2 linked regions of the Styela clava genome follow. Each later gene encodes a partner of the first gene's protein in a complex. Links are inferred from orthologs where the notes say so. Each region holds a gene or a part of one and is shown on either strand. Other genes may lie near its edges. The genes, in order: surfeit locus protein 1-like and small integral membrane protein 20-like.

What was found.
Region 2: surfeit locus protein 1-like (region 1) and small integral membrane protein 20-like share a complex: the UniProt entries of both Homo sapiens proteins name them as parts of the MITRAC (mitochondrial translation regulation assembly intermediate of cytochrome c oxidase complex) complex. The link is inferred for Styela clava from reciprocal best matches to the Homo sapiens genes SURF1 and SMIM20.

What each region holds. Positions count from the first base shown.
Region 1 is NC_135261.1:13,757,449-13,763,748, reverse strand, and holds surfeit locus protein 1-like, read left to right. Parts: upstream 1-4,255; 5' UTR 4,256-4,310; coding exon 4,311-5,162; 3' UTR 5,163-5,536; downstream 5,537-6,300. Other genes in the region: trafficking protein particle complex subunit 9-like, read left to right, coding at 1-2,082; 5-hydroxymethyl-dUMP N-hydrolase-like, read right to left, coding at 5,843-6,300. UniProt on the Homo sapiens protein: Component of the MITRAC (mitochondrial translation regulation assembly intermediate of cytochrome c oxidase complex) complex, that regulates cytochrome c oxidase assembly.
Region 2 is NC_135263.1:1,580,812-1,587,329, reverse strand, and holds small integral membrane protein 20-like, read left to right. Parts: upstream 1-4,066; 5' UTR 4,067-4,137; coding exon 4,138-4,303; intron 4,304-4,862; coding exon 4,863-4,984; 3' UTR 4,985-5,751; downstream 5,752-6,518. Other genes in the region: small ribosomal subunit protein uS3-like, read right to left, coding at 1,167-1,260, 2,454-2,584, 3,181-3,210.

The sequences.
Region 1 (6,300 bases):
GTTTCAGATACCGAAAGATTACAACGATACAGTGTGATGGCTGATTTATATAAAAGTATAGGATTTTACAGAAAATCTGCATTTTACAAACGAGTGGCTGCGATGCAATGTGTAGCACATCATATCAAAGAACCTGATTGGAAACTTTGCAACAGACTTTTATTGAACACAATATCATGTCCGACTAAACACTCTATCATCTCCCCATACCTTAAAAACAGACATGGATGGCCAAGTATTAGTCTTAGAATATTACATGAACTTGTATATTCTTTGGAAAAAATTAATAATCATAGTCTTGCACTTCGTTATTTGCTTTATTTGATTTTGAATATGTTTCCTTATTTGTCTGAAACTGATGAAAAGGCAACTTGCTCTGCATTGGAAAATTATGTCAAGAAAAATATTAGTGTACTCGATAGCACATCACCTGAACTCAACTTCTATGTTTTACCAGTCATAACTAAGATTTCTCCTTTATTTGAAGATGATGGAATGAGACCAACAAAGTCTAAAACTGAATCTGATGCTCAAAGTGTTTTTATTTACACACCAACGATTAGACAGTCACAAACACACGAGCTTAAAAAAATTTGTTTTAGATGGTGTGTAAACACAATGTTCGAGATTATAGTACATGTATTTAATCCACTTTCTCATTGCAGTATCAAGATATCAGAATTTTCGCTGATTCTTGATTCAAACAGTTCAGCTATAGATTGTCAACCACAGACTTTTAACATTGCGCCGCAATCATCCTTTGAAGTCGGGATTAAAGTAACTCCAGTAGAATTAGGTACAGTCACTATTATTGGATATGCATTTTCAATGTATGGAGTTTATGCAAAATGTTACTTCAACAAAAATGATAACATTGAAACAACTGAAGTACAGATTCAAGTTATTGGTGACTTGCCGTTACTAAAGTGCATCAAGGATGACAAATGTAAAGAAGAGGAAGGGAAGCCTTTAATTGTATATTATTTTGGTGAAAAGACAAACTTACCATTCCATCTTACCAACATTGGAAAACAACCAATTTGTGATTGGAATATTTTAATTAAAACTAAACACAACATGCAAGACATATTAATAAATGTTGATGACAATATTAAGCAAGTATCACTCCCTCCTGGGAAAACTGTTCAGATTCCTGTGCACATTGAACCAAAAACTACTGTTTTGGAAATTGAGAAGTGTCAAGAATTTTTGTGTGTGGCTACGATAAAGTATGCAGGAAATTTGGGTAAAGATATATGGTGGCGATGTACAGAAATTGAAATGGTTATAAAAACTGATGTCAGTATTGTAGTTGAAGCTATTGAAGTAAAGAGCCTAGAGTCAAAATCTTGTGATTATTGTCTTGTGTGCTTGCATCTAAAAAATACATTGCAATATGATGCAGAGATTCATTTCAAATCTTTTGATGGTGAAGGTGGTTGCAATGACAATATGATACCAATTGAGTGTGATGAGGGAAAAGTTTGTCAAGTTCAAATGCAAAAAATGGATCTACCATCAAGTGGCATTATTGATGAACTATGTATTCTTCACATTAAAAAAATGCTGGATTTGTCTTGGAAAGTAAAACACGATGGCAATGAATTTGAACATGGAGGAAACATCCATCTTCCCAGTTTACTTTCATATGAAAGCTCTTGTAAAATGATAAACTGTCCAATTGAATGCTCCCTTTTATATGGCAACGATTCAATAACAAGTTCCCTCAGTGCTTTTATTACCACAAACAGTGTAAACTATGTAACTTTTGAATTCCATAACAAATCAAACATTTGTCAGACCTTGGAGGTGTCGTTGGATGTTTTTCAAGATCAACGAAATGGATATGTTGAGCGGAATCTTGAAGACTGTGTCATGTTCGTTGGATGTACCCGAGCCACTATTCAAGTAAAAAAGTCGGAAACTGTATACTTTGAATGTGGTGTACTGTTCATCAGGAGTGGTTCTTTTGATTTTAGAGCCGCTATTTCATTACAATTATGTGACAAAGTCGGTTATAAAGATCATACACAAAAATCACTAAAATGTGTTTCTCCAGTTCTTACTTTTGTTGTGCAATAATCGTTATTATTATTATTAAATTATACAAGTTTCAATGATTTAAAACTTGCAATTCATTATATCTGGCTGTTAGGTTCCATGGTTGGGTGATGTTGCGGCGTTATTTTCCAGCCATTTTCACAATTAAGTAATTCGTACTATTTCAACTTAAACCCGGAATGCATTCCGCAGTCGCCTTCGTTTAAAGACTCAATAATTATAAAACGAAAAGACTTTTTGGGTGGGAATTCAAATGATTTTTTTTCATTATAAAAAAAGATTTGCTATCTGTCTTGACGCATCGTGCCATGCGTTGGAAATGCGCTCGCCACTGAACCACTGATTACCCCGCTTGGGTTCGAAATACCGTAGGGACAATTGTGTGCGAGAGGATTGATGGACTCTTCACCGCCATGGAGTGTTTCACGTAACTGCTTCTCGGTTACGTCTTCCCCCGCCACCAAAACCCGTCCAAAACAAATAACTGACCAACTAGTCAGACACCCGACCTGTTAACCGGACGAGAGGCCGTGGTTCGTCATATGATTAATCCGTCTTGTCGGGTTTCCTTGTAAACCCTAACTTTGTATTAGAAATCATCTCTTCAATCAATTTTATTTGGTCACTCTGATACAAACAAAACAACAACAAAGGGACAAACAAAATACATAGGACCTGGATCTCTTCTAGGAATAAGTTTGAAAATTCATAAAAATGACTTTATTTTTCGTCCCAAATATGGTTATCGTTCAAGATGGTACCTATAAAATTAAATACGATTGAATAAATGGATTTCTCTACATTTGAAAATCCACACTACTGGTAATTTTCTGTGACAGATTGCATACCCGTACCATTTCGTGTCCAAATATTTGAGCATCAATATCTTTGTTCGAATTGGAGGTTTGTTTATATATACACACTTTTTAAACACATACCTTCTCAATAAAATACTGTTATCAAAAGTTTTGCTAACGAATATTCCATATTAAAGAGAGAGAGAGAGTGATATTTTCTTTTTACACCAACCAAAAGGCAGTCATCTTAAGAATAATAGCAATTGATAAATGTGTGGGGTATAGATAGGAGAGAGTATTACGATTATATGGTTTTCAAAAAATTTAAAAAGCCACTGTCAAATCGTAAAGTCAAATGAATACTTTCAATCGGGTAAATGACAATTGTGTAATTTTGGGGGGCTCCCAAGTGTCTTTCGAGATGTGTTGGTTTGTCCCTCAGATTTCATATCAAATATTATGTAAACTCCAATATACAAAACTTTTTGAATCAAATTTCTCTATAATTCCGGTACGACACATCATGTTCAAACGTCGGTCATGTCTCAGTGATATCCATTAGTGATTGAGTGGGTAGGAAGTTTTTTCTGGAACATTGCCAAATGATGGTATGGGTGTTTCCCCAAATATCCTTGTTTTTCCCGTAACAATGACCAATCAGTCAAAAGTCGAAGATGACGTAACAATTGCAATTTTTGCAGTTACTTAGACACTTTGTTCTCTCAGACCATGAATATATACAGATATTCGAGCATGGTTGTAAGCATTGCATCGTTTCTGCGGTTTTGCGTATTTTCAGTCGTTTCCGAAAATTATTTGTAAATGAAGTAATCATATTCATCAAAAACAAACTACCAAACTAACAGTACTGTATATTTCAATAGTAATGATGGGTTTGAGCATGTAAACAAGTTTGTAAGTGCCAACTCTCCAAAACACTCGCGAAATAAGCATCCAAAATTTATAATATTTTTCCTGGGGTCAAGGGTCGGGGATGGCAAAGCACTGACCAACGGGTCATACAAATATAATAAAACTGGCTCTAGCTGCTGCTGTGTTACAGCAAGCTAACAATTGATCTGTCTATTTCTCGTATCGTAACTGATAGCTAGCTGGATCTGAAACATGTTAATAAGGTGCTGGGGTGTGCACGGGATAACATATGCAGGCTCATATACCGGTACTGGTATCGTTAGTGGTACTTTTACTAACATGGCTTGCTTTTTGCATTGAAATATGTGTGTTTATCTGTGACTTGATTCATTCCTTCAGTCCGTGGTGAATCACAAAAATACCTGTTGCAGTATTGCCTTTCCTCCCACTCCACTTGGATCGATTTAAGGTTATTGGGATTGAGAACCATAAATGTCTTCAAACATGTGTTTGTCGTAGATGTTTTAAGACAAGTTGATGGTCCGAGTACTTTTATACCTTATTCATTTTTAGATAAAGATGATGTCTTCTAGGCCCATATTTTGCAACAGATCACGGAAATGGTGCCATTGTTTCAAGCGAAATGAATCTGCATCAATATCAAAAAGACCAGTAATAAAACGACGTGAGTACAAAAACGACCAAAATGGAAGTACCGCAAAACCAGGGAAATGGATTTTATTTGGAATACCTGTTGCTACATTTTGCCTTGGTACATGGCAAGTTCGAAGACGAACATGGAAAAATGATTTAATAGAATCACTCAATAAAAAGACTACAGCAGAACCCCAACCTCTCCCACAGAATTTAGAAAGCATAAATTCAAAAGACTTTGAGTACTCAAAATTTTATGTGAATGGTGTACTTGATCATTCAAAAGAAATGCATGTAATGCCAAGAACTTTTGCCAAGCTTAAAGAACAAAGCGGTGGCTCACTTTTATCAACAGGTAGTCGAGTGGGGTTACATGTCATAACTCCATTTTATATCCCAGAACGAGATTACAGTATCCTAATAAATCGTGGTTTTGTCGATAGCGATTATAGAAATCCAGGAACCAGAAAACGGGGACAAATTGATGGCGAGGTGAACATCACCGGCCTATTGAGACTTACAGAAAGAACAAAAATTAAAGGTACAAATATGATAGAACTAAATCAATGGTCACATGTTGATGTTGAAAAAATGGCCGAGTTATCTGGAACAAAGCCTATTTTACTTGATGCTGTGGCAGAATCTTCTTCACCTGGGGGACCTATTGGCGGTCAAACACGTATTCGTATATGGAATCAGCATGCTTCGTATATTATTACATGGTACAGTCTTTCTGCTATAACTGCCCTTATGTGGTGGTCTAGATACATACGGTGAGGTATTCTAGTGATGTTCAGTAAATAGAAACGTATTAGAGTAAACAATTGAAGCTAAAATTTATAAAGATTTGTGAAATGTTCTGATTGCTAATCCTGTGTTATGTCAAAAGACTTGCAAATTTCAGAATAACCAATTCTGATAGAGCTTAAATTCATTTAGACTGCATTTTCTACATCCAATGCGGTGAGGTCTAATTTTCGAATTGATGAAACAAATGATAATTATAACGAAACACTGTTTTTTGTTGAGATACTGTTTGTTACTTCCACCTAATTTACTGCGAGATCACATGGTAACCCTTTTATTTAATTACTTTTTATCTTCATTATGAGAGAAACTAGATTAAATACAAACTTTAAAATAACTTTTTATGAATAAGGCCTATGTTCAGATGCTCGACCTAGTACCCAAATGCTAATCCATTCATCATCGTAAAATTGATAATGTATAATTGCATATTTATTACACTAAATCATATTGAATTATTTAGTTTTGTTGAGGATTTCTTAATCCTAGAGTAATTAGTTTTCATATGCATAATGCCGAAATGTTTCAAACACACTCGTGCAGCTTGAGTAAGGTGAAACAAATTAAAGTGGTTGTAAGCTGCATCATTCTCGATGAAGATGACCAAATTTGCATTAATACTCAAACTTGATCATGATATGCTTAATAAGTTACACTGCTGCATTTTTATTTTGAGATTTTTCTAGAAACCCACTAACATATTCAAGAGCGTCTGATATGGCAATATAACGCTTCACACTAATATTATTATTTGAAGACTGAGCTCCATCAATCATTGCAGACAGGCGACGACCAGCGTCATCTCTAAATAGACATAAAATGTTTTTTCCCATGTCTAGAGCTCTTCCTATTTCGTATCCCACTCCGAGTGAGGGTGTTGTAACCTCAGCAACAACAACATCACTGTCTGTAAGCCATTCCATATCACGATCATGGATCTCTGTGGCAGATAGATTTCCATCGGGTCCTACTCTTCCATCAGCAGTTTGCTTCAATGACGCTACATGTTCTGTTAGGACAGTACCAAACGTCTTCATATGTTCTACAATTTGGCAATATAGTTCTGCATCTCCTCTCCCTCCGGATATGCTGCCACAGAAATATATTT
Region 2 (6,518 bases), on another chromosome or scaffold:
TTTGAAAGTTCTAATTGTGAAGTTAGACCGTAACAACGTGGAATTTTAAAAATCTTGCCATTTAGATACAAAAATGTTTTTTTTCAAATTAAAAAAAAAGGAGCAATCTTAGAAAGTAGAATCAGTTTTTAGGCAAGCTTTGCTATGAAACTATTGTGTATTCACTGTAACAAAGGCATCAGCTTGTGAAGAGACTGTTTATCATCAAATCACTTATGACGGGGGTATCCTGATCATCATTTGCCTTTAATACAACAAAATTTACTATTCAAATACAGGGGTTCTTAAACTATTGGTGTTACAAAAGCAAAGCAGGAAAACAATGAGCCTTGCGTCAAAACTAAATTCGCCCCCAATCCCAACAATGCTATTTGAGCTATATTTAGCTAAAACCTCAAAATACGATTTTAGTTTTTTTGTGGCAGCAACGGGCGACCCAAATTGAATCACCCAACAAGCTGGATTCAGCCCGCCGCCAAAACCTTGCCCGACCCCTGGTTAAGGGGTCTTACTACTTACTGAATACAGCGCGAAACACCGCAAAGAGCGCAAAACAGAAGGAAACCAGCGCAAAACAGGAGACGCAGTCATTACCACCTCCTGCCACGAAAGAACCACGGCGCCTCTCGCCATGGTTTTATGGCGCTATTTCCGGTATATTTACAAGGTTATGTACCGGTTTATAGGCCATCATGCGAAATTTTATCTACCTTTTTGGTGCTCCAGAAGTATGTGCAGCAATATGTCGCACAACCTGAATCCGCTACACACACACATACTATTTTCAGGTTGTGCGCCATCTTGGTGCACATACTTCTGGAGGTCCCTTTTCACCTAACCCTAAAGCCAACCATATCCACATGGAAAATGTTCTAAATTATGGTACCCAAAATGTGTCACCAGCAGGGGCAGACCTGCCATTACAGCATAACTGGCTACATACGTTGGTTTGTGTTTTTAATTTGCTGCCGTGGTAATCCAACTCAAAACAAAGTGCCCCGAACTCATTGCAAAATTTTTTTCTGCTTCACACTGTTTCCCTGTTTTGCGCTCTTTCCCTCTGTTTCGCGCTCTTTGCGGTGTTTCGCGCTGTATTCAGTAAGTAGTAAGACCGCTGGTTAAGAGCCTTGTCCAGAGTAAAAAAAAACAATGAAGTAAACTTATACCTCTACAGTTCCGTCAGGAAAGTTGAATCTTTTCTGAACCATGGCTGTGAGCTCACGGATTCTGCGACCCTTCTCGCCAAGAACATTCTGTGTTCTGAAATATTAGAAATTGTGATTTTTGGCAGTTGTTCAAAAGGGAATGTGGCATTTTGCTAAAAAACATTCAGAAGTAGACCAATCTATGAGCAAAGTTAAAATACCACGAGCCACTAAAACTATATCAAATTAGGTTTAATGCCAGTTTACCATTTATTTGATAAATATGCTAATTTGGACATCAATAGTGGTTAGAGCAAGCATATTTTTGCCTACACCATCCAATGTAATTATTCAAGAATCGTTTCACGTTGGAATCATTGTATGGGACACTCTAAACAACCCAGATTTTGGGCATTATAGATTTTAACATAAATTACAGTATACACCAACAGCTCAGGTAGAGTAACATGATTTTAATCATTCAAGAAGTATTTCGGTGTCCTAAGTTTAGTCATCATTGCTGTGGTGCATACTGAAGACCGAGGTCTGCAAGAAACCTTTAATACACTCGGGCCAGATACAAATAACTAAGTGAAATCGTGGGGCACACCTTCATTTAACATCAGCTTTTTAAATAGTTTAAAGCACAAAAATTTTGGTTGTTCAATTTCAATAATTTTACACATGATTATTAAGGCTATTCTGTTAGTTTTGCACTAAGAATCTAGATTTTCACGCGATGTCAGTAGGTTCGAACGCAGGCTCGGGACGATAAGCGTGCCGTAGTCACTGATTGCACACTGGAACTACTGGATTTGCATGCCAGATTTCTGGTAGATAATGGACATGAAATCCAGTGTTCTGGTGAAGTAAACGACTTACTTGCTTAAATAACGCCTAACAAAATTGTGATGTGAAAAGAACGCTGTAAATGCTCAAATAACACCCAACAAAAATGTGATGTGGAATTTTAATGTGAAAAGATCGAAATTACACCCGTACGGTTTTAAAACGTCGCCGTCGGAAAGGTGGACGACCTATCTGTCCTCTTGTGAGTCGAGTTGTCTGCCTCCAGTTTGTCCCATGCGCGCAACCGTATTGCGCTCGGGCAAGACTGACTTTTATTTTAAGAAGAAAAAATGAAAATTTGGGATGTATTTTCACATTACATTTTTGTTTAGCGTTATTTAAGCAATTACGGCGTTTGCTTCACGAGACTCAAATCTCTACAGGAACTACACGAGATCCAAGGAAAAAACATCTAAGAAATAAAAAGTCAGCTTGAAGCTTCGGAAAACAATGCATCACCTTGTGGCCATGATGATGATCTCAGTACGAGATGGAGTGACACGAACTTCGACCCCACTGTAACCATCCTCTGCCAACTCTTTCCATAACAATTGATTCAATTCAGCCTTGAATAGGCCATCGCGAACGAACTTAAAAAAATGAGGTTGATATTATTTAGTTTAGTCAAAGTAAGCAGGATTTAATCACGGTCAGTTTAAGATTAAATATTATAATTTTAACTGGATCCCAAATTTATTTGCTAGATGAAACTAGAGAAAATGAGTTTCCCTGTTGAGTCAAGCTTTCTGTTCAGAGCTGTTTTAGACGGTATTTGTTTAGCTTAGCTACGTTTTCATTCAATACCTCATGCGAAATTTCAAGAGACTTATGAATTTAACCCAATTTTTTTTTTTAAAACAAGTATCAACCAGAAGTGCAAAATTCTTATTGGTAGTGTGGCTCAGCTAGAGTAACTTAATTCTAATCATTCAAGAAGTATTTCGGTGTCCTAAGTTTAGTCATCATTGCCACACTGCAGATGAATCCATTACATTGATAGCTATAAGCGTGCGCGCGAAAGCAAGCGAGGATGAAGTATCTCATTTTTATCCAAATACATCGAGATAACTGAATCACTACAAATCGTAAATTTACAAAATATGTATCAACTAGGTAATAAGGTATACAAAATTATAAAAATACGAAGCAAATAGTTGAATAAATTCCTAAAAACTAACCAAAATACCTTGCGCTTCTTAGAGACTTGTGTAGCCATCGTCGCAAGTTCGGAAAAGGACGGAAGAGCGAACCACTGGAGGACGCGTCTGAGTTTCCATAAAAATTCTCACGTTTTGGGTCATTGGTTTGAAGAAAATTTAGAAAGAGAGGAAGAGAAAGAAATTTAATAAAATTCATCATTCTATATTGTACATTTTGTTATTATTAATAAATATGTGAGCTATTGCAGAATTCTGTAATACTGAGGGACAACAATTCTCATAATGTTAATTTGTTATATTACCAAGCAAATATTGAATTTCTTTCTAATTTTTCAAACTTGAACTCATTTTATTCTTTTTTTATAATTATGTTTAATAGGTTTATATTTGATATTTAGTACTGTAGCAAAATAACTGGTTGCATAAAGCATTTACAAGCAAATCAAAGTCATTGATGACGTTTCATCGCTCCCTCGAGTCCGTAACAAAAATATTCTCTATTTATTGTATGTCTTTTATTTATTTGTATTTGGTTGACAAATCAACGAATCTATCTTTCTTTCTACATACTGAACATATAAAAACAATTATTTATATTTTATTTTATCTATCTTATGTCGAAAAATACGCTAATAGTGGTATGGTAAGTACACAGATTGGAACGGTATGTTAGTCGTTGGATTGGAACAATAAACTGACGGATACAAAAAATATAAAAGCATAAAATGAAGTAAAAAAAGGAGCGGTTCATAAACAAAGCTGTTTAATATACATTACTTTTTTTAATTTATATTGAAATATCAATTTGAAAATATCTGTATTCCGATATTTTCAAATTAAATTTTTCTCATGATCGCGAAAGATGTACAGTTAGAATTATGTAGCTGTTCATTGAACCCTATCGCCAGAGGACAAAAGTTCATTTGTTGCAAAATTTTCAGTTGAGTTAGCGAAGAACTTCGGAGTTTTCTGGCTTCCGAGCGATGGTTTTCGTCAGGAATTTCTTACTTCAACAACTAAAAGAAAGACCAAATTTGAAGAACGTGAAAAATCCGAGGAATTATCGGTTAATCGCCGCGTTTGTAGTATTTCTTGGAGCAGCTTTTGGACCGATCTACATTTACCCGCTGTATAATTCGAAAGCTTATCGTAAGTTGAGTTTTGCCAGTACTGTTAGGCTATGTCTTTTATTTCGACTAGATTTATTGACTCATGCCTGCTTGTTTTTTAATTAAGGCTTGCATATGCCGATATGGCATAGTTTTTGAAGCTAAAATTTGGTTTCCAAGATGTCCTGAAGTTTGGTTAAATATAGCAAGGTCGTCTGGCACGATGGCAGGAGGATGATGCTGTGCTTTTCATAACTTAATCAATTGCAGCTTGAATCTGTCGTCATGTGACCAAGGATACGTGTTTTTGCTAAAAACTGTCGAATCCTTGGTGAAATTATTTTCTTTCGGCGATTCTGATTAAATATTTTCGAGGAATCCAATGGTGACGTTTTTTTTCGGTATGGAGGCCCAGACTGTCTCGTAAAGGAGGGTTTTGCTATTTTTGGGGGGGCTATTTTTGGAATCGGAGAACTGTGCCGTACTGTATGGTCGCAACGCTCCCCTCCGTCTATACCGAATAACTTTATGTATTATTTATTGTTGTAATGCTTGTTTTCTGGTTGACCAAACAATAAATCTCTCTATCTCTGTTTTAGAGGAAATCCAAGAAAAAGGGAGAGCAGGAATCAGCCAAGAAGATATCCAGCCTGGTGGTATGAGAGTTTGGTCAGACCCATTTGCACCATTGCCAGATAAAGACCAGAAGAAAGGAGAGTAAATAAGAGGAGTGCCAGCACAGGAGCCTAAAGTCTAAATCAAGAAATAACTGTTGCAATATACAAAATTATATTGCAAAGTAGTCATAATAACCTTTTTAATAGTCACTTCCCTTATTCAAAGCTGTATATTACAGCTACCACTGTATTTATAATATTTCTATTTTGAACTTTCAAGTTTTTCATAAACCTTCAATTTCTAGTGATTGCAGCGTCATCAAATTCCTATATAATTTATAATTCCTGTTTATCCTGTGACCACTCGTAACATTATTGTTCTTTGGAAAGAGCTCAATAATCTTTAAGTTGTTACATTTAGCCTTTCTTTAAAGAAATTCTCATAAAATAAAAACAAAGTAGCATCTAAAATGGTGCCAAGTTTGAAACAGTCAGCCACCCAAGATGGGTCGCCAATTAAAGCTGCGTTCCCTGAAATTGTTTCATTTGTGTTTATATTCATATTTTTAGTGTTTTCTTTGGTAACTGAAAACCCTATTTTTTCTCTTGTGGAGAGCCCTCTTATAGTGATCAATATTTTTATGGTCTTAAATAGTTTATTACAAATCACCCTCTTTTTGGTGGTTTACCCCACTTTAAACCCCCAAATTGGGATGCGTGATTACCCCATGTCGAAGAAAAAAAACAGCTTCCAGCAAATTTTAAAATTTATTGTAAAATCGGCTATTTTGTTTGCTGGTTTTTGGGCAGTTGCTCATTTTTTTGCTGTAATTTTTGGGGCCCCTCTGTTGGAAAATGCTGAAAAAACTTCGATATGGGCAGGGTTAGTTTCATCCCTAATCGTGGTGCCCGGGGTTTGCATACTCGGCCCAAAGCCCCGGAAATGGATTGCCCTTTTCAATTTAATGAATTTTGATTCTTCACAAAAGCGGACCCTATTTTACTGCACAATATGTACCATCATCGGCAGTTGGTCATCAGCTATAGTAATCCCACTTGACTGGGACAGACCCTGGCAATTGTGGCCGACCCCTGGGGTTGTTGGGGCAATGCTGGGGTACTGTGTGGGGTTACTAATCGGTGGGGCTAAAATTGTGAAAGATATTAAGTTCTCAAAAGTCCATTGAATTTGTAATATTTTTGTAATTTAAGATTTTTTGCATTTTATTGCTTTCTGCTGTCTCGGTTTTGATATTTATTAGGCGTAAAACTGTAGATCGTGGTAAAATTATACCAGACTCATAACTGGCTGGAGAATATTTTTTAACTCCGCAGACCGCAGCCCTAGTGTAGTGATGGATAATTCTTCTTATGTTGTGTTTGATGTGCATGCATGCTAGAGCGGATAAAACCAAATATAGTAGTAGTCTTACAATAGTTCGTTTTTGCATCATTGCAGGGGTTTCTTTGCCTGACCATCATATGCTGAACAATATTTTCAAAATCAAAAGTTTACTATACGGAATCTAACCATTTTAGAGTGTATATGAATATTGGTCTATTTATAATCAATTTGAAATATAAATATTTTGGGCATCCCCAATTTTCAATTGTCAGACAAAACTTGAAGTAATGTGC